Oryzias latipes: one gene and its partners. The protein of the gene in region 1 purifies or fractionates together with the protein of each later gene. This does not show direct contact. Links are inferred from orthologs where the notes say so. Each region holds a gene or a part of one and is shown on either strand. Other genes may lie near its edges.

Region 1 (5,927 bases):
TTCACCATTCCTCTGGGAAGCTGAAGCGGCTTCTTGTTGGCCTTGGATGCTCTGTGAAACTTTATAATGTGCTACGGGAAGACAAGAAAACAGCAGCTGTACCATGAATGAGCACATTTACCAAAATGGACTCTTTTCTACAGATCCACACACTGACATGTGTGTTCTACAGGCAATATGGTTTAAGCATGTGTTTCCACTTCTGTGGAGGGGGAATGCAAGTGTTGCAGCTCTGCGGCAGTAAAAGGTATTTCACTTACATTCTCTGCCAGTCGTAACTGCTTACTTAAATGGAAAAGGGTTTAACTACCAAAAAGCAAAGTAATTCTTCTCATGACACCAACAGACTGGAGTGTTGTTGTTTTTTTCTTTCTGAAGTGTGAAGCATCAAAGGGGCGCATTCCCGCGTGTAGAGAAAAATCTTCAAAGTACTGACGTGCAGTGTAATTTATGTAACATATCGTTGAGCATAGGTGGGGATTTGTTACTTGTGAAAAAAGTTAAAGTAGAAAAACATCGTATTGGCTCTCCCCTCGCACAGCAGTAGTGTGATTGATGAGTAGTGCAGTTCCAGTGTGTGTTTCCATTTTACCCAGAGATCATGCTCCGCATAGTCAAAGAGCAGCCATACTTTACGGTCCGCGTGTGACAGGAAAACCTTCTGCAGGGAGATGACATTGGGGTGCTTCAGCTCCCGCAGCAGCTGCAACATAAAACCCTTCAGCTCCATGGCATAAATCAGGAACGACAAAAACACACAGACCAGAAACATTTCCGAAAATAAAACGAAAATCAGGTATTACCTGCACGATCTACCAAAAGCAGATAAACCTTACAATTAATGAATGCCTATAAAGTGTTTGAGTTAGCCTGTAAGTTCAAAACATTTTGAACGCGCCACAAACATACATAAAATATTCCAAACACCTTCCAGCTTTTGTTTACCTGACGACCAAGAAATATTCTGATAGATTTGACAGATGGGAGCCTGTTTATGGAGTAAAGTCAGAGTCAGCATGGCTGTGATAAACTGCAGGCAGGAGCTGTGCGTTTGTTAATCCCAGCACTCTCTGGTTGCAATTTTAGACAATAAAACTACCAGGCAGAAAGTATTGCATGTTTGAGGTGATCTTCAGCAATTACTATGGCCTCAGAAAAAAAATGTAGTTGCCAAACATTCCCTGAGCTTGGTGCTTCTAGAACAGTTCTTTCGGTACTTGAACAAGCCTCTGACCTGCAAAGACGATAAATAAATAATCTGGCAACAACCAAAGTGAGAGAATGCCAACCCAGACTTTCGATTTTTGAACACAAATATGATTTTCAGTGCTGGTAAGCAGCGAGTAAATGATCTTTAAGGGGTTTTGTTCAACTTAAATTAATAATTTCCTTTTTCATGTCTGACTATTCCACCAGTATCCAGCATGTACAGGAAGAATGATGGGTAACTAGCTGCTAAATGTAATGTTAAAAGTCACAAATGGCTTTTTGAGATGGGGTGGAGCGAGCTAAACAAGCATTTTATGCAAAGCCTGCTTCATTTTCTTTGTCCTTGTTGAAAACAGCTAATCTTTATTTAAATCACAAGAAAAAAAAACATTTTGGTGTTCTATCCCTTTAAGTTTAGACGTAAAAGGATTCAAGGGACAGAAAGCTGCTAATATGGTCAGATGTCACACTAAGGACATATTGTAGTGCATTTTGAAACATTTTAATCCAATAAACACAAATGTCCTTTCAATGAAATATCTTAATTTGTCTTATTTAAAGTTTAGGATGATTATGAACTTATTTTACAAATGAATAAATGCAATAAACCAATTTTGGTTTCATTTAATGAGTGGTTAAAACAAAAATATTCTAAATGAAAAGAATGGCATAAATGTATTAACCAGTGGGAAAAAGCCCTTACTGCAATCTCTCTGCAGGCTGACATGGAGATGCCAGTGCCTTCTATCTGCTTGAGGGCGTAGTCTTTATCATCCTTCCTAAAAACAGAAAAATCCAGCACATCAACACCAGGCCAGACAGCAGGCCCCCAGAAAGCTCTATGCACAGAAAACAAAAATAAAGGACGGGAGGGGGGCACTTGGCAGCTGGTGTGGGGAGCTGGTGAAGAGGCTGAGCTGCATTACCTCCAGATTTGTGTAATCAAGCTCACCTCTGAGGCTCTAAACAATAAAGGGGGAGAGGAAACAGGCGGTTTCTGGCAGCTGGGAGGGACAAACAGAGCTCTGGGACTGGCTCACTCTTGAATATCGTTCCTCCTCTTGGCCTAAATTATCTTATAAATCCACACTTTGTAGTTGGAAAGATTCTGCAGCCCACGGTGTCTCATAAACAACAGTAACACAAACATCTCAAAGCTTCTTTCTATGGTTCTGCTGTCCAGATTTTCTCCTTTAGGGTAATGCGCCTTGTGTGGGCCAGGAAGTTGCTGCTTTAACCCAGGTTAGGGCCAGATAAAGCTAGGGACCACATCGGAAAGTTGCACTTTAAAAGCTCAAGTGTTGCTTTAACATTAACAACATAAATAACAAATCCCAGTGTCACTACTAGAAAAAATATGTCCCCTAAAAAATAATTATTATTGAAGCTTAATTTCCTGTCTAAATATTAGTTTAAAAAACTGATCTCAGACACATCTATACTGCCAATAAACCTTTATTTCCACTGGAAAATCATAATCAAATTCATAATTAAATGTGTGTGGATTATGATAAACAAGACCTGAGAACCACAATAAGTACAATATCAATTTAATTAGATCTAACCTTAACTAATACAATTTAATGATGCTCACACAGAACCAACCACAAAGCTGCATGCAATGGTTGCAAATATATTCCTGCTAAATTAGCCTCCCATCCATGAGAGAAAATGTCACTCCTCATTTAAGCTAGTAGTGCTGCTACACAAAGCTTCCTCAGCATCCTAGTGTGGGCTTTTTAACACTCTGCTATTGCTGTTTTTGTCTGCAGCACGCTTCCTCCACCGCGAAAGGGGGCAAACTAAAGTGGTTTAAATGGAGCGGGAGGGGGCTGGCGCAGGGTTCAGCGGCTGGAGGCCTTGTTGGTCATCAACTCACCCATCTTTTCTCTTCGCCTTGTACACATGACCGTAGGTGCCTCTTCCCACTTTGCATCCTTCGTACTCAAACAGGTCCTCGACGCGCTCTCGTTCACCGGTCAGCTTCAGTTTAAAGTCATAGTCCATTTTTCACCACTTCAGAGGCTGAATGTCTGCGTTTCTTCCTTTCTTTTTAAAGCGTCGCTAGGGAGGCAACTAGGCTCCTTGACTCAACGAGCTCGGTTTTTGGTTATTTCAGCTAGTTGCCTTCCCAGCGGGTCCCTTTCTTTCTTCAGCTCAGCTTCCACATCGAGGTTTGGGCTCGAAAATAACCTTCCGATGGGTAAGCGCGGAGATTGGCAATTATCCGTGCTGAAAAAGGCCCGATTTTACAATTTCCTTTCTGTTGTTTCTGCGTTTCTCTCAGCCGGTATCTTCTCCAAAGAGACGCAATTCAGTCTGTAGCCACGGCGTAATCGTGCCAGCCATTGTCGCAAAGTGTCGTAAAGACAGCCCCTGCAGCAGAGAAAGGAGAATGGCAGAGATACACAACCACGTGGATATTCGCACTTAAATAAATAAATAAATAAATCAGTACGTGGGTGAACAACAAACAAATAAAGCCGAGGAAGGTTTTTCAGATATTCTTTCTTTTATTATGCAGTCACTTGCCAGTGTTTAGTTTTTACAGTTCAACAAATAGTAATCTTTAAAAGTAATTATTGATAAATCCTAAAAACAAACATAAAAGAAAACAAGTATTTAAATACATAAAACCTCTATAAGAGAAAAAACGTGAAATGGTACATAAATAAGGCTATTTACATACACACCGAAATGCCATGAGAAGTCACAATTTTCTATTTAAACAAACAAGCAAAAAAAAGAATACAATACCTAGAATTATCCTCGTTAATCTAATGTCTCCCTGTATGCATACACATTTTTTGATTGACTGGAGTACAATTTCTAACAGTAGCAACAACAAAAAAAAATATATTTGAAAGTTGTCTGTCTTTTAATATATTTTTATATATAATATATAATTATATAATATATATATATAATATTTTTACTATATTATAATGTATGTTTTGTAATGCATACGCCATCCCCGTTTTTTTCAACATAATTGTTCTATTTAATCTCAATTTTTGTTGTATTTTGCATATTAATTCTAAAAATAAAAATAAAAAGACAGCATTTAGTTTGCTGCTGACGAAGGATGTCAGTTGGTGCATACAGTAGACTAAAAGAAAAAAAAACATGTTTAATCTTTTAATCAATGTTAGAAGCAAATTTACCAGTCAATAATATCACAAGGAACTTAAAAAAAGATTACAAACAAACAAAGAAATAAACAAAAAGCTGTGTTTGTAGGAACTAAGGGTTAAGGAATTTTGTTTCCGGCGAGCAGAGTCATGTAGCACCGCTGGTCCCATCTTGGTCGGAGAGAAAGGGGAAAGCGGAGAGAACCTTCCATTACAGCTGCTTTGTCAGGTACTTCTCTAAAGCAAATGTTACTGACACTACTTCCTAATGTGGTTTCCATTTATCTATAAAGATAGATCATATGTGCAATATCCGGCGAACTTGTTGTAACAGCATATGTGGTGCGTTATGAGGTTTTGCCTCTCAGCTAAACGGCTGTCGACTTCAGTGCTGCTACTACTAGCTGACGTTATATCACTAGCATGCTAGTTAGCAGTTGACGCGTTGCTTGTTTAAATCAACATTGTAGCGTCTTGAAGTAAATATAGAACAAACAGCCTCGTTAAAGTGTTGTCGTACGTGTATTCCCAGTATAATATCTTAATCGTTTTATTGTTTAGTGCTGTTCACGACTTTGTGTTTCCTTCCTTGTCCTGCGTTTACATGGAGTAGATCTCCGTTTAATAGGTTTCATTTTCCGCCTCTGTCGCACGGTGATTGGTTACTTGACCTGCCACTAAAACCAAACAGGGGCGGTGATTGGTTAAGAGTCAGCTGAACAACATGATTTGGACATGGCCTTTTGGGGATACTATTCATGGTTATTATTTATGTATACTCGCTCACAGGCATTTGATCAGTGATTTATGCAAATTATAGCTGGGCCTTTACAGCAGAACATATATGACTATACCTTTTTTCCACAAATGTTAATACTACTGTGCTGTCCATATTGCTTAGTCCTATACACAAATGATTTTGCTATTAGTGTTGAACCTTGAATACTCTTGTAAATTAAGTAGAAATTATAACAAGTATTAGAGAGGCAAGTTTATTTTATGCACAAAAAAGACCTTTTAGAAAAGCATTGACAAGAATCACAGTTAGGATAGTATGGCCACAAAACAGTAAAATTATAAAGTATAATTAAAATTTGTTTAGACAAGAATAAAACAGAAGAATATAGACTGATGGTCACGAACTAATGTTGTCTGATTGGAAGCATGTCTAACTTCATTAGAATAAATGTTCCACATTTTTGTGAACTGAAGTGAAATGTTGCTTCACCGTGTCCATTTCTCTGACACCCTTCCACATGGGCCTTCCAGCACTCTTCTTTGTTATGGACCCTCCCAGTGGGGGAGATGAACGGCAGAGGCAGGCAGAGCGTCTTCGACGGGAGGAAGCATATTATCACTTCATAAATGAATTGAGTGAAGACGAGTACCGCCTCATGAGAGATGGTAACCTGCTGGGCACCCCTGGTGAGGATTGGCATACACATTACATGGACTCTGGGTTGTCAGTTGAGTTGCATGCTGTGATCTTTCAATGTAATTTTTATGACAGTGTGACATAGATTTAATTAAACTCTTTATTTAATTTTTTCCACTTATTTTTAGCAACACATTCTTTTTAACACCTGC
Region 2 (6,002 bases), on another chromosome or scaffold:
AAACACCATCACTTCACTCTTTATGCTCTAAATTCTCTTGGGGGGTTAAATAGCTCTGCAGTGTACTAACTAGGATTATGAAGAATAATGTTTAGTCTTTATGTAACAAGTCCGAAAAGTCCTACATACATATTTAATAAACGAGTCTATTTGGCAAATTGTAACATTTATTTTTTATCCTTAGCTTCAGAATTATATTTCTAGAAGCCTAAATGTCCCGCAGTTTCTTTGCACATTTCCCTGTTTACATATTTCATCTTTTTTAATTTGTTAATTAGAAGGGGTTCATCTACTTAAATGATGAATACATTTTTTTTCTAGTCCAAAGAAATCGCTCCGTCTGAGGAAAGTTGCTAACGGAATCAACCGACAGCATTTTAAGACAGTTTCAAAATGAAATAAACCGATTTTATCGATAATGGAAAACGCCATTTGGGTTGAGGCGCAGTAGGTTGATGTGCATCACTGCAGACAACACACATGTGACGACGATCATTCCAGTCCAATGTGTGGAAACACTTTGAAATTACTAAAGTCATGTGACCAAACAGTGTCTAGAATGTTCTAATCTTGTTCCCTTTGGATTCTTTGGATGTGGAAAAACAACAGTCGGCTGAACTTTAGGAAACTCAAATGTGAATGGATTTGCCAATAATTCTTGTTTACTTGTTTGTTTGTACTCATATTTAATTGACACTTGATTATCTTGAATATTGACTAAATTGTTTCAGCAAATCCGCAAACTGAGAGGGCAGCTTGGGTTGTTTCTTTAGTTATTTGCTACTTTCACAACCGTTTTCTTTGCTGTCCACTTTTCTTCCCATTGGTTAATCAGCTTCATGAACTCGTACAAAATAAATTTATTTTACTTTGATTCTTTTTAGTTAAAAACAAAAACAAAAAAAAAACACACACAAAACAACGGAATGAACTGCGTCGCATTTATAAGACAGACCCTGTCAACCCATCGGCTCCTCAGAAAGCTTCAGTAGGAAAGTCGCCTCAACAATATTAGAAAGTTTTGCTTTCACAGCCTCATGGATGTGAAAGTCAGTGTAAAAATATTGTAATAGAATGACAGCAATTGAAATTGCATTGAGATTTTCTTCTTTTTGGTTTGTAGTTGTAAAATATTCTTAAAAGAATGCTGTTCAGACAGACTAAACAATTGGTTTGAATGAGAAGATATTAATTCCTATTCAAAAAAATCTATTTCAAATATAATATATTGTGACAATAATTGGAAAAACTGAAGATTTGAAAACAATTCTGGGGAGGGAAATCTTAGGACATCATCGCTTAGACTAGTTAGTTGGACGGTCAATTTGATGGACGGATTAATTCATTGAAAATTCCCCCTTAAATCTGAAATATTCCCATAATAAAAAAGGAGAAATGCCACAACTCATAGAACTGAACAAAATTAAAAACCACAGTAGAAAAACTCACATCTCTGATGATTTTGGCCAGGCTTTCCGCTGTGCATCCGGTGTAGCTGACGCTCTCCACAGCAGGAAGCAGATACGGAGGAGAATTACACAGAAGCACGCAGACCTTATGTGTTTGACCTCTGCAGTGACACACGCAGACAGAAACAAGAACAATGACTGTTAAAAATCCTTCACAGTATGTTTAGAATACTGTAAAAGTCAACATCAGACATTGGAAGTCTACGTTCTCCCCATTTACCGTGAAAAAAACTTGTTTAGACAAAACTTAAAAAGTAGTCAGTGATGTCTTAAGCAGGGATCTGCAACACGAGGCTCCAGAGCCAAACTGCTCCATTCTGGCTCTTTGGTTGTGATAAATATCGTAGCATTGATTTAAATGTAGTTTCTTAGATTTTTGGCTAAAATGCTCCTATAACAATAAAAAATGAAAACGGCCTTATGTTTCTCCCAGAATGCACACATTTCAAACACTCAGCAAATTACATGTGTTCTTAAAAACATTGTAATCCTTTAAGTATGTTTATTATTGGGATATACTTAAAACAAATTATGTTACGCTGCAAAATAATGTTTAATAACTGCCCAGAGGGGGAAAGAGAAAGACATGTATATACTTTTATACATGGCTCTCAGACCATGATATTTATCTTCAGGTTATATTACTAAGCTTGGAAAAGGGCGATGACACACCAAAGTAGACTTATATAAAACAAAAGAAAAAGCCTTTGTTGATTTACATTGTATAACATTTTCTTTGAAGTATATTTACGGCAGCAGATGTGTCTTTATTTTTTTAAAAGTGTCCACTTTTCTCAGGAGGAAAAAACAAATTCATGTGAATTGAATAAAATGCTATCATTTATTTTTTCCCTATTGTTTTTATTTAAGTCAAAATAGCTTAATTAATATATATATATCAAAAAAAGAAAGCAACAAATACAAAGGAGTTTTGAATTTTTCTAGAGGGTGAAACAAGACTTCGGAGCTGCTGCTGTTTTTGTCAATGGGAAACTGGCCTGAATGGCTTTTTTAGTGTTAAAGGTTGCAGACCCTGGTTTAAACAAAAGTTAGGGAGCTAAAATGTACTTTAACTTTTATTTTAATAAACACAGAACAATGTTTTAAACATCTTAGACGAAATGATACCTTACATTTGCTCCCTCATTTTTTTAAAGTCGTCAAAGAGCTGCAAGGCCACAGAAAGGCCTTCTGCAATCAGGCTGCAGCTTTCTGCTCCACCACCCATGAACCTGCAGGAAAACACCCATCACATCTTTCAAGAAATTCATGGGAGTTTTAGACAAGATCCCTATCTGCTTTTTTAATAAATGTAGCCAAGTTACTGGATGCTGTCGATCCATGAAACAAACTCGTAGGCAGAGCTGGTTGGTGCGTGACACTGAACGTAGGATTCAGGAGCACAGTCCACTGTGTTGAACACCACCAGACCATACTGTGTTCCACCATACTAGGAAGAAAAACAGATGTCACTTATTATTACAAAACGGGACTAAAATAGTTTAAAAAACTGAAATACTAACAAAAACAGAAATTACACTCACGTCTCCACCAAAATCTGTTTCTGCTGGGGGCCCTCCATTAAAATATCTAGAAAAAAAGAAATAAGATATTTACTGTTTTAATGTATGAGCAGCTCACTCTGTAAAGTCTGCACATCTTCTGCTTCTTACTCAATAGCTGGAAGGATGTAGTTTTTTCTCAGTGATTCAAAGTACGGTCCCAGGTTTGCCGTCCCTTCGATGACAAAAACCACATCGGCCACCTGGTTGGAGCCAGGTTTACTGGGCGGCTCCATGTCCACAACCTGGACGTGTGGGAGACACGGGAAAAGGGGAAATAAGGGTGGTATCATGGAGCAAAACACACAAAATACTTTATTTTCCTCTACAGGCGGTACTTGGTGAAATATTAATATATAAACATGTGTGATGATTATTTCAATGAAATTCAAGCTTTGAAATGTCACAATTAATGGATTCTCTAACCATCAGACAGAGTGAGCATCTAAAATGTTTCTCTTCATCACATCTTCATTATGTGTTAACTTGAAATAAAACGTCATGATTTGGCATATTGTAAACAATTTAAAAACGGAGAGCAGGAACAAACAAACAAAGCCGTGTGTGTGTACCGTTTGTTTAAAATGTCTCTCTAGCTTAAAACATGACAACGAATAATCTAACAATTCAACTATGATTATTATTAATTACGCGTTTATGTAACTGAGGCAGTTTATGAAAAGGAAACCACCGGCTGTAAACATTAGCCGGCTTAGCAAGCATGGAAAAAAGACTAAATAAATAATACGACTGGAAAAGCCTTTACTGTAATTCAAGAAGAAATGAGACACAACTAACCTGATAGTGAACACCTATTATTCCTTAAATATGAGATTTACTAAACCGAAATATAGGCAGTTGTTTACAAAAAAAAATTAAACCATAGCACAAAACCGCATATACGTTTGTTTTATTTTACAAGGAAGTGACGCAATGAAAATTCAATGGAGACGCTTCCTCTTCGTTGAATATAATGTGCAGATAGGATGTCTCTGAGCGCACTGCTGCCCCCTAGCGTTGAGTCATTCCTAGTGAAACAGCACTGTGGTAATAAATAAATAAAATATAAATAAATTAATAATAATAATAGTAATAATAATAAAATGAAAATCCCATGTAAAAGAGACCAAATTGCGCTTTATTTTCAATCATTTGGTAACAACGAGGTGTTGCTGAAATAACTGGTAAAAACAATAAAGTTCTTTTTTGGCGTAATAATAAGAGAAGCTATTTGTTAATAGATTTTAAAGTTATTATTCCAGATTTTTATTTTAGGTAATGTGTAAGTCAAACCAGTAAAGTCCTCTATGTTCATTTTCACCATATATCAGTGATAAATGAGATTTTTGAAGTCATAACCATTTTAATGTCTTTTCAACAGCAGGTAACTATGAAGTTCACTATAATGCGAATAAAACCTTTAGATTCAGATTAGCCAGCTACATACATTTAAGCTTCAATTGGACCAATTAATGCTTAGAGTTTTCAGCTCTGAATTCAGTTCAAACCTTATAACCAAATGCATTTCAATAAAGTGGTTACCTTTTGGAATAGTCAGAAGAAATATGTGCTTCTGGATGAGCCTAAAACAATAAAAACATTGGAGGCAGAATGAGCAGAGGACCAACAGGAAGTTCCAAAATTAATTAATTTTGATGTTTTCCAATTAATTAACTGCATTGTGAAATAATAGGTACAATCTGTCTTCAGAATTATGAAAAACAAACAGTTGTTTTTCACATTTGTTGAGGATTTTATTTCAGATGTGAAACAGAGCCGGATGCAGAAAAAATCCAGATGTTGATGATCCACATCTCCAGGAGATGTCAGCAGATCTCCACAGTGCAAAGAGAGAAGACATCAGAATTACAGTGGAGAAGATGCAAGCGTGCATTTGATACTAGCTCTAATGATGTCTGCAAAAGAAAATTCAGATTTTTTGTTTGTTTTTGTTTTTGCATCTTGTTTAAATATGTAAATTTACAGGCCAAACTTGGTGTTCTGCTCCACACGCTTTTGAGCTTTTGTTATACAGATTTTTTCTTTTTTCAAAAGTGTAATTTGATTTTGGTTACTTAACAAAAAAAGGAGTTTATTTACACCAAGCTTGATTAATGTTGTTAAAAAGTGAGCTCAGGCAGACAAGAAACAGGCCTGTAGAAAAATGCCAGACATTTAAGGATAAAACTTATTCCTGCCCATGTGTTTTTGTACCGAGAAAGGTAAAATTTAATGACCTGTTTGTGGTAGAACTTGTGTCTTTAACACATTGATGTAGTTTGTGTGGTCGGTTTAATGGCTTCCGCTCCCTTGTGACAAAAGCCAGTAAGCTGAACGTTCAGCTTAGAGGCTTCAGAGCTCATCAAACTCAAAACCCTCCCACAGACACAATGATCCATATCAATTCAGCCCAAATTCTGAGAAGGAAAACAAGCTGTGCGCCCAAGCAGCTTCGCCTTTTGGGTGTCAAAAAGCAGGGCTGCTTATGGCGGCTTAAGTAAAGTTGATCTGGAGAGGGTTTAAGCCCGTGGCTATCCACGACCTGCAAACATTTAGCTCCCCACGGATCTTTTATCCTGACAGTGAAACATGGCCAAATTAAAGTGGCAGGAAGGATTGCATGCACAGGAAGCTCTTTACTTTGCAGCTCTGATGCTTTTCTTGGAGACATTTTGTGCTTATTGTTGTCTTAAACTTTAGCACACACATGGCAAGCAGTTGCCAAGCAATTACAGAGCGCCGGCTCTCTGGGTGTGCCTTTAGAAAGACACACACTGCTTCCTTTTTTCCCCGTTGTTGGTCAGAAATCAATAATCTGAATGCAGAAATGTGGTTCTTTAAAACTCCACGTCTGCAGGCGGCTTTGATAAGACAATCTGTCTCCTGACCATTTTACCTGACCTACTGGGACTCTGGGCCAGATGGTCTTCTCACAACAGGTAATCACAGGCTGCTTGCTGATGCACTTTGA
Region 3 (6,008 bases), on another chromosome or scaffold:
TGAAGTCCTTTTCCAGTCTTTTATATATTGTAAAAGCGTGCAAAGAAGTGAGTGGAGCTATTTGTTCACAAGTGGATGCATCTGAATGCAGCAGAACAAGACGCTTGTGCCTTGAAGATTGAAGTTTATTTCTAACAATTTATATTTTCTTTCTTCTCTATTGTCCACCATCACGAGAAAAAATGACACAAGAACATGTTGAAAACACAAAAAAAGACCATTTTCACGGAGTGTGTCTTTTCAAACTGAGATTTTTACATTTCCTCTTATACTAACCAAAAGGCTTTTTATTATTTCGGCATAGCTTCAGTAATTCACTGGTGTTTATTTTCATGTTTTGTTGCACAAAACACGGCAGTTATACATTTGGCGGGTTTAAAGCAAATAAACAAAAGTTTGTCAGCTATGAGAAGTCATTCTTGACATAAAAGGAAGTAAACAGTTGATGAATGCACATGCAGAGGTGGATTATGCCTTAAATGATCTGGAAAAAAATCAAATAAAGAGAACTATGCTGCAGCTCGTTTAAATAAAGACAGAAATTTAAAGGGTATAACTAAGAGTTTATGCCATTAACACCTACAGAAGACATCTTTGTTGTTTCAACAAAGTTTCAGAAGAAACCTTTATAGATCAATCCCTGTTATATGATACTTACATAAAGCCTCAGAGAACAAAAGGGCATGTAATTGAGTTTTAGGACCTTAGCAGTATCTATTTCACAGAAGTCATAAATGCCACAGAACTGTGTAAAAACAGCTCATACACTGCATTTTTAGCTTTACATTTAGTTAATAATGATAGACGTTTTTGATTTGTTATTGATCAATTAACAGCAAACTCATCTAGAAAGGTAAACATTATGGAAAAAAACCATCTATGTTTTTTATAAAGTTGATTATTTTTGTTATCTTGAACTGTTAAATAAGGTTTAAAATTATTACATTTACAACCAGATCACACACGTTTATAAACTTGTTGTCTTTAAAAAAAAATCAAAGATTTAAATAATTCTTTAATAGCTGTTAAAAGTAACCTATATGTTTAAAAAAAAGTCTGTTAATTGATCATTTTGCTTTTTTATTTTTTATTGAGAAAAAGGAGATAGTCAATATGAAATGACAGAAAGCCTTGGGAAAATTAGATCGGATTTCTCCTTTTGGACACATTTGACCAATTTTCTCATCCAGCGCGCGAGGATTTCTTTTAACACACAATAACATGTCAACAAATTCTTACCTGTGCAGGTAAGACCCAAGAGGTTCATTAGCACGAAGGCTGTCCACATCCTTGCGCGCGGGGGTTAGTTTATTTTTAAGGAGAATCAAGCTGCGCAGTCCCTCCACCTGCCGTGGACCAGTGACTTTTCACGCGCATTGAAGAAATCGGGTTGCCTCTCAACTAAAAAGAAAGTAAAATAAAAAATCTGTTAAACTAAAAGTGGAAAAAAGGAAGTAGAGGTAAGAATGCGCTCAATGAATGGGAGCGCTCTGCAAAAAAAATCCCCTTTCAACGACGCGTTAATTCCGTGTTTGAGAAAGGAATGTGGCTGTACCTGTCCGCGCGCACGACACCTGAGCAGGTGCAATTAATGTGGGATGGTCACGACCTCGTCATTTTTTTATTTTAGTTTACCACAGCCAATGATTTTGAAACACCCATTGACTTTTCATCTAAATTATGTCACATTACTGGGATAATTTGCAAACTAACTGTTGTCACTGATTTCGAATAAACAAGAAAGTTTATTAAGTGGTTGAGAGTTAAAACAGTAGAGTAATGTTTTGATCAGTGCCCTTAATAGTTTGTGGGCTACAAGCAGTGCGTGTATTTGAAAATAAAGAATCCCCGTTTCTTGAAACAGATAGTTTATCTGATCTTCAGCATAAGTTTTTTTTTTCTTTTTTAACAAGAGACCAAAGTTCTCGGTGTTGCCCGCCGCGACTGTTTATGGCGCTGAATTAACATGACTTTTAGTAGGTGGACATAAAGTTAGAGCGTAGCGGAACTATTTAGTGTGTGTTTCAAGTGTTCACCCGGATCACTTTTCAGTTGCACACGAAGTGGCGCTTCGTTCTCCAAAGACATTAGCATGCCGTTTGTTTGGAGCTCTGTTTGCAACAAAGCGTAGTGACTTTTGGTCAGATTTCACTCTGAATGATCGATATGGCGCTTTCGATGGAGTCTCAGTTGCAGAGCATCTTTGAAGATGTCGTGGTAAATTGCACCTTATAACAAAAATGGATCCACGACAGAGGATCTGTTAGCATTGATGATGCTTGTTTTTATTGTTGTTAGTATTTTTGCGAACTATCTTTTTTTTGTAGATAACCTGCATTAAAATACACAAATTAAATTACACGTGAATAACACTTGTTAACAAACAAATGTATCAGGTTTGGATTATAATCTGTTGTCAGTGGTGATGCTTTTGTTAACAAGGCACTTATCCTCAAAATGAATGAGTCTTTGTTTAGGTATTTTTGAAGCAAAGGCTATTTTCTTCCTTTGACTGCTGTCAATAGGAAAATTTTATTTTTGGTTGTTTGTATTTTGAATTTTGATCTCTTTTAACATCATAAATCATATTTTCTTCTTCTCAATCTTTCAGAAAACTGAGACAATAGAAGAAGCTTTTGCTGGGTAAGCTTGTTACTAACTTTTATTCATAATGAGTAATAAACATGTTGAAAAAAGGTCAAAATGCTTTGACTTTTAGTTCTGATTTTAAAAAAAAAGAATAGAAATCTGTAGTTTGTTTAATTTATTTTCTGCTCCTAAAACATATTTCACCCCTAAACATTGTGTTGGATTGACAACAAATGGTTCTTATTCCTAAACTAAAAAAGTGAAGCTGGCATTTTCGGGTTTCAGGATGTTCATGGACACTCCAGAGGATGAAAGAACTAAACTCATCAGTTGTCTGGGAGCCTTCAGACAGTACTGGGGAACTCTGCCACAGGTTTTTAAACTTATTTTTTTTAATATCTTAAACATTTATACACAAAGATACATCATATTCTGTATATTTATTCTTTTTTTTCCTCTTCAGGATTCTCACGAGCAGTGTGTTCAGTGGATTGTGCGCTTCATACACACTCAGCGCAGTCCCAAAAGGATCTCCTTCTTGTATGATTGTCTTGCAATGGCTGTGGAGACTAGTCTGTTGCCTCCCAGGTGCATACACTCATTTATCATAGTCTGCCCACATTCTTTACATTCATTTATGCAATTTATGAAAAGATAAAAGCTCCATATAAAGTTTTTTGAAGCTGAGTGTTTCCTCTTCCTTATATTTTCACTATTAAACACATTATTTTTTATTCATTTCTGCAGATTCTAATTCAAAGTGCATTTCTGCTTTGACCACTTTTTGAAAATGACAGTATTAGCTTGTTTGCTTATTCATTGTGAGGCTTGAAATTGTGTGACTCATTCCTTTGATGAATTCATTTGCTTTCAGGATGGTGTGTGTAGCTCTCATTAGCTCAGACAGCTTGGAGTGGGAAAGAACACAGTTATGGGCTTTAACCTTCAAGCTCATCCGCAAAATAATCGGAGGGGTGGACTACAAGGTGTTTGACGCACTAAAAATAAATCTCCTTTAAGCTTGAAAGACATTAATGGACTTTAAAAGAATTTAGTTTTGTTTTTAAAATCTGCTCTATATTTTCCTTAGGGTGTACGCGATCTGTTGAAAGGTGTTCTGGATAAAATTCAGACCGTCCCCATTACTGTCAGCTCAGCTATACTCCAGCAGCTGCTGGCCGCCAGGGAGGTACAGATCATTCCCGTTTTCTTGAATTCTGTAATTCAGATCCAGTTTTTTATTTGTCTTGACACAAACCGTAATTCTCAGATAGTCGTTTCTGCCCATTTTTCAGGTGGTGGAGTACATTTTGGACAGAAACGCCTGCCTCCTCCCAGCATACTTTGCTGTAACAGAAATAAGAAAACTGTACCCAGAAGGCCAGCTCTCACATTGGGTATGTGAATAATTACACGAGTGTGTAAATGTACATCCCTAACATCTTCAATTCTTTGAAACATGTCTTTGATTTTTGGGGTTTTCTGTGTTTGATTTTTAGATTTTGGGCAGTTTAATATCAGACTTTGTGGATAGTTTCAGACCTACAGCAAGAATCAACTCAATCTGTGGTAAAACTCACACACACCCAAACACACACACTTAAGGATTTTACAATTTTTTGTCTTTCTAAAGCATTTAACTATGCTAGATTTCTTTCAACTACGGCTGGATTAAAACAGCAAGGATCAGTTTAACAAATCAATAAATTAATTTTACTTTAACCCCTTCTTGCATGAACTTTATTTTGAAATTGAAAACATTTTTTACTTTCAATGTGATGCTAGATTTCTCTTGTACGGTATTAAATGATATTTTTTTCAGGCATAAAAAAAACTGCTTTTTGTTAATAAAAACATGACCAATCTTAGTTCTAATAATAAAACTTCCACTTTTGCTCAATTTGAAAGATAATTTTTCTAAGAACAAATTTTTCATAATCAAACTTAAGTGGTTTTAAAAGCAAAGTTTGTCATGCAAATCATTTTGTGAACTTGTAATTTGAAATCAAATCAGTAGTTTGGTTGCGATACCAAGCCCTTCTTTTAACAAGAAATTCTTACGTTTAATTTTTAATTCTAATTTAATAATTACCGGTAACCAAAAACCCACATAATGTCTGTAAATTTTGTGTGTAATGCAATAATTTAAAAAAAGGAAGTCCTCCGACTCCGCCTCTTCTTTGTGCTTGTTTAACAGCTTGCTGGTGTTTAGATAAACTGGAGGAAGTTTAAAAAGTCAAGTTTTAGAATAAACATATAAGCCAGCTATAGGTATTTACTGACCCTACAGTAAAGTTCACCATTGCTTGATTTGTGAGCGTGAAGCTGATTATCGCTCTCCATGCTGTGTGCGTGGCAGATCCAAATAAATGGGGATCCATGGGGATTCATTTTTTTTTCTTGTCCCTGAACGTGTGTTTTAATGCTTATCCAAGTAAGAAATAGATCGAAATAGATCTGGGATTTATACAAAACAGTTAAAATCATGGAAGAAACATCATATAGTACAGATTTTAATGATATATGTTCGTAATCTGCTGTCCCTAGGAAGGTTAAATGACAAACATCAGATTCACACTAAAATATATATATTTTTTAATCAGTTTCCTGCAGGGTTTTCCAAGAAAAGAAAACTTTTATTTAATAAAAAAATAAAAATAACACTATATTGGCATTTTAAAATGTTTTTTAGTGTAAATTTCTTTTATAAATTGTTGTTTTCTTAATTATTCAACTTTTTCCACATATCCTTGTAAATATTGGAAGTTTAATGTTAATGGAATTTGAAATCAGTCCCAGAATCGTAAAACTAAATGTTTGAAAGCGTAATTGAAGCTAAGTGACTTGTATTTGGTGTCGTCGTCCCCCCCCCCCCTTAAGGACGATGCAGTTTGCTGCCAGTTGTGAATAACAGCGGGGCCATCTGTAACTCCTGGAAGTTAGACCCCGCCACCCTGCGTTTCCCCCTCAGGGGCATGCTGCCCTATGACAAGGTAACCCACCCCGCATCTGCACAGCTTCACGCCCACACAGGAACAAACGGTAATGGCTGCTTTGGTCGTTGGGTGCAGGACCTGTTCGAGCCGCAGACTGTCTTGCTCCGCTATGTGCTTGAACAGCCGTACTCCAGGGAAATGGTGTGCAACATGTTAGGACTCAACAAACAGGTAAAAAACAGAATGAAAACCTTCCTTATATGCTTCCTCTGGCACTTTTCTATGTTTTATACCACCTTTTTTCTTCTTGACCTCACAGCCCCTTTTGGTTTATTTTTGGACTATGAAAACTTTTCTTCCTCAGTTTTTTTGTGTAGTTTTTTTGTCTGTTTTGTTATCCCTCTTAAGCCCATCACCACTTGGATTCCCTTGTAGTCTTTGTTACACAGTTAAACAACGCTGTGAGCTTGACCCATAATGCAC

What was found. The genes of interacting proteins can lie anywhere in the genome.
Region 2: the proteins of cdk8 (region 1) and med25 purify together in Homo sapiens (affinity purification with mass spectrometry; 8 studies listed by BioGRID and IntAct, counting the BioPlex papers as one, with this or other methods). This does not show direct contact. The link is inferred for Oryzias latipes from reciprocal best matches to the Homo sapiens genes CDK8 and MED25.
Region 3: the proteins of cdk8 (region 1) and med23 purify together in Homo sapiens (affinity purification with mass spectrometry; 10 studies listed by BioGRID and IntAct, counting the BioPlex papers as one, with this or other methods). This does not show direct contact. The link is inferred for Oryzias latipes from reciprocal best matches to the Homo sapiens genes CDK8 and MED23.

What each region holds. Positions count from the first base shown.
Region 1 is NC_019878.2:17,541,432-17,547,358, forward strand, and holds the start of cdk8 (cyclin-dependent kinase 8), read right to left. Parts: upstream 3,611-5,927; 5' UTR 3,217-3,610; coding exon 3,089-3,216; intron 1,989-3,088; coding exon 1,913-1,988; intron 704-1,912; coding exon 593-703; intron 72-592; coding exon 1-71. Other genes in the region: E3 ubiquitin-protein ligase RNF6, read left to right, coding at 5,624-5,765.
Region 2 is NC_019866.2:3,604,371-3,610,372, forward strand, and holds the start of med25 (mediator of RNA polymerase II transcription subunit 25), read right to left. Parts: upstream 3,976-6,002; 5' UTR 3,830-3,975; intron 3,277-3,829; 5' UTR 3,268-3,276; coding exon 3,143-3,267; intron 3,060-3,142; coding exon 3,014-3,059; intron 2,920-3,013; coding exon 2,795-2,919; intron 2,702-2,794; coding exon 2,603-2,701; intron 1,571-2,602; coding exon 1,450-1,570; intron 1-1,449. UniProt on the Homo sapiens protein: Component of the Mediator complex, a coactivator involved in the regulated transcription of nearly all RNA polymerase II-dependent genes.
Region 3 is NC_019882.2:15,917,850-15,923,857, reverse strand, and holds the start of med23 (mediator of RNA polymerase II transcription subunit 23), read left to right. Parts: upstream 1-2,033; 5' UTR 2,034-2,157; coding exon 2,158-2,217; intron 2,218-2,611; coding exon 2,612-2,643; intron 2,644-2,874; coding exon 2,875-2,962; intron 2,963-3,052; coding exon 3,053-3,177; intron 3,178-3,463; coding exon 3,464-3,575; intron 3,576-3,679; coding exon 3,680-3,778; intron 3,779-3,884; coding exon 3,885-3,986; intron 3,987-4,088; coding exon 4,089-4,158; intron 4,159-5,469; coding exon 5,470-5,582; intron 5,583-5,660; coding exon 5,661-5,756; intron 5,757-6,008. Other genes in the region: interleukin-20 receptor subunit alpha, read right to left, coding at 1,240-1,288. UniProt on the Homo sapiens protein: Required for transcriptional activation subsequent to the assembly of the pre-initiation complex. Component of the Mediator complex, a coactivator involved in the regulated transcription of nearly all RNA polymerase II-dependent genes.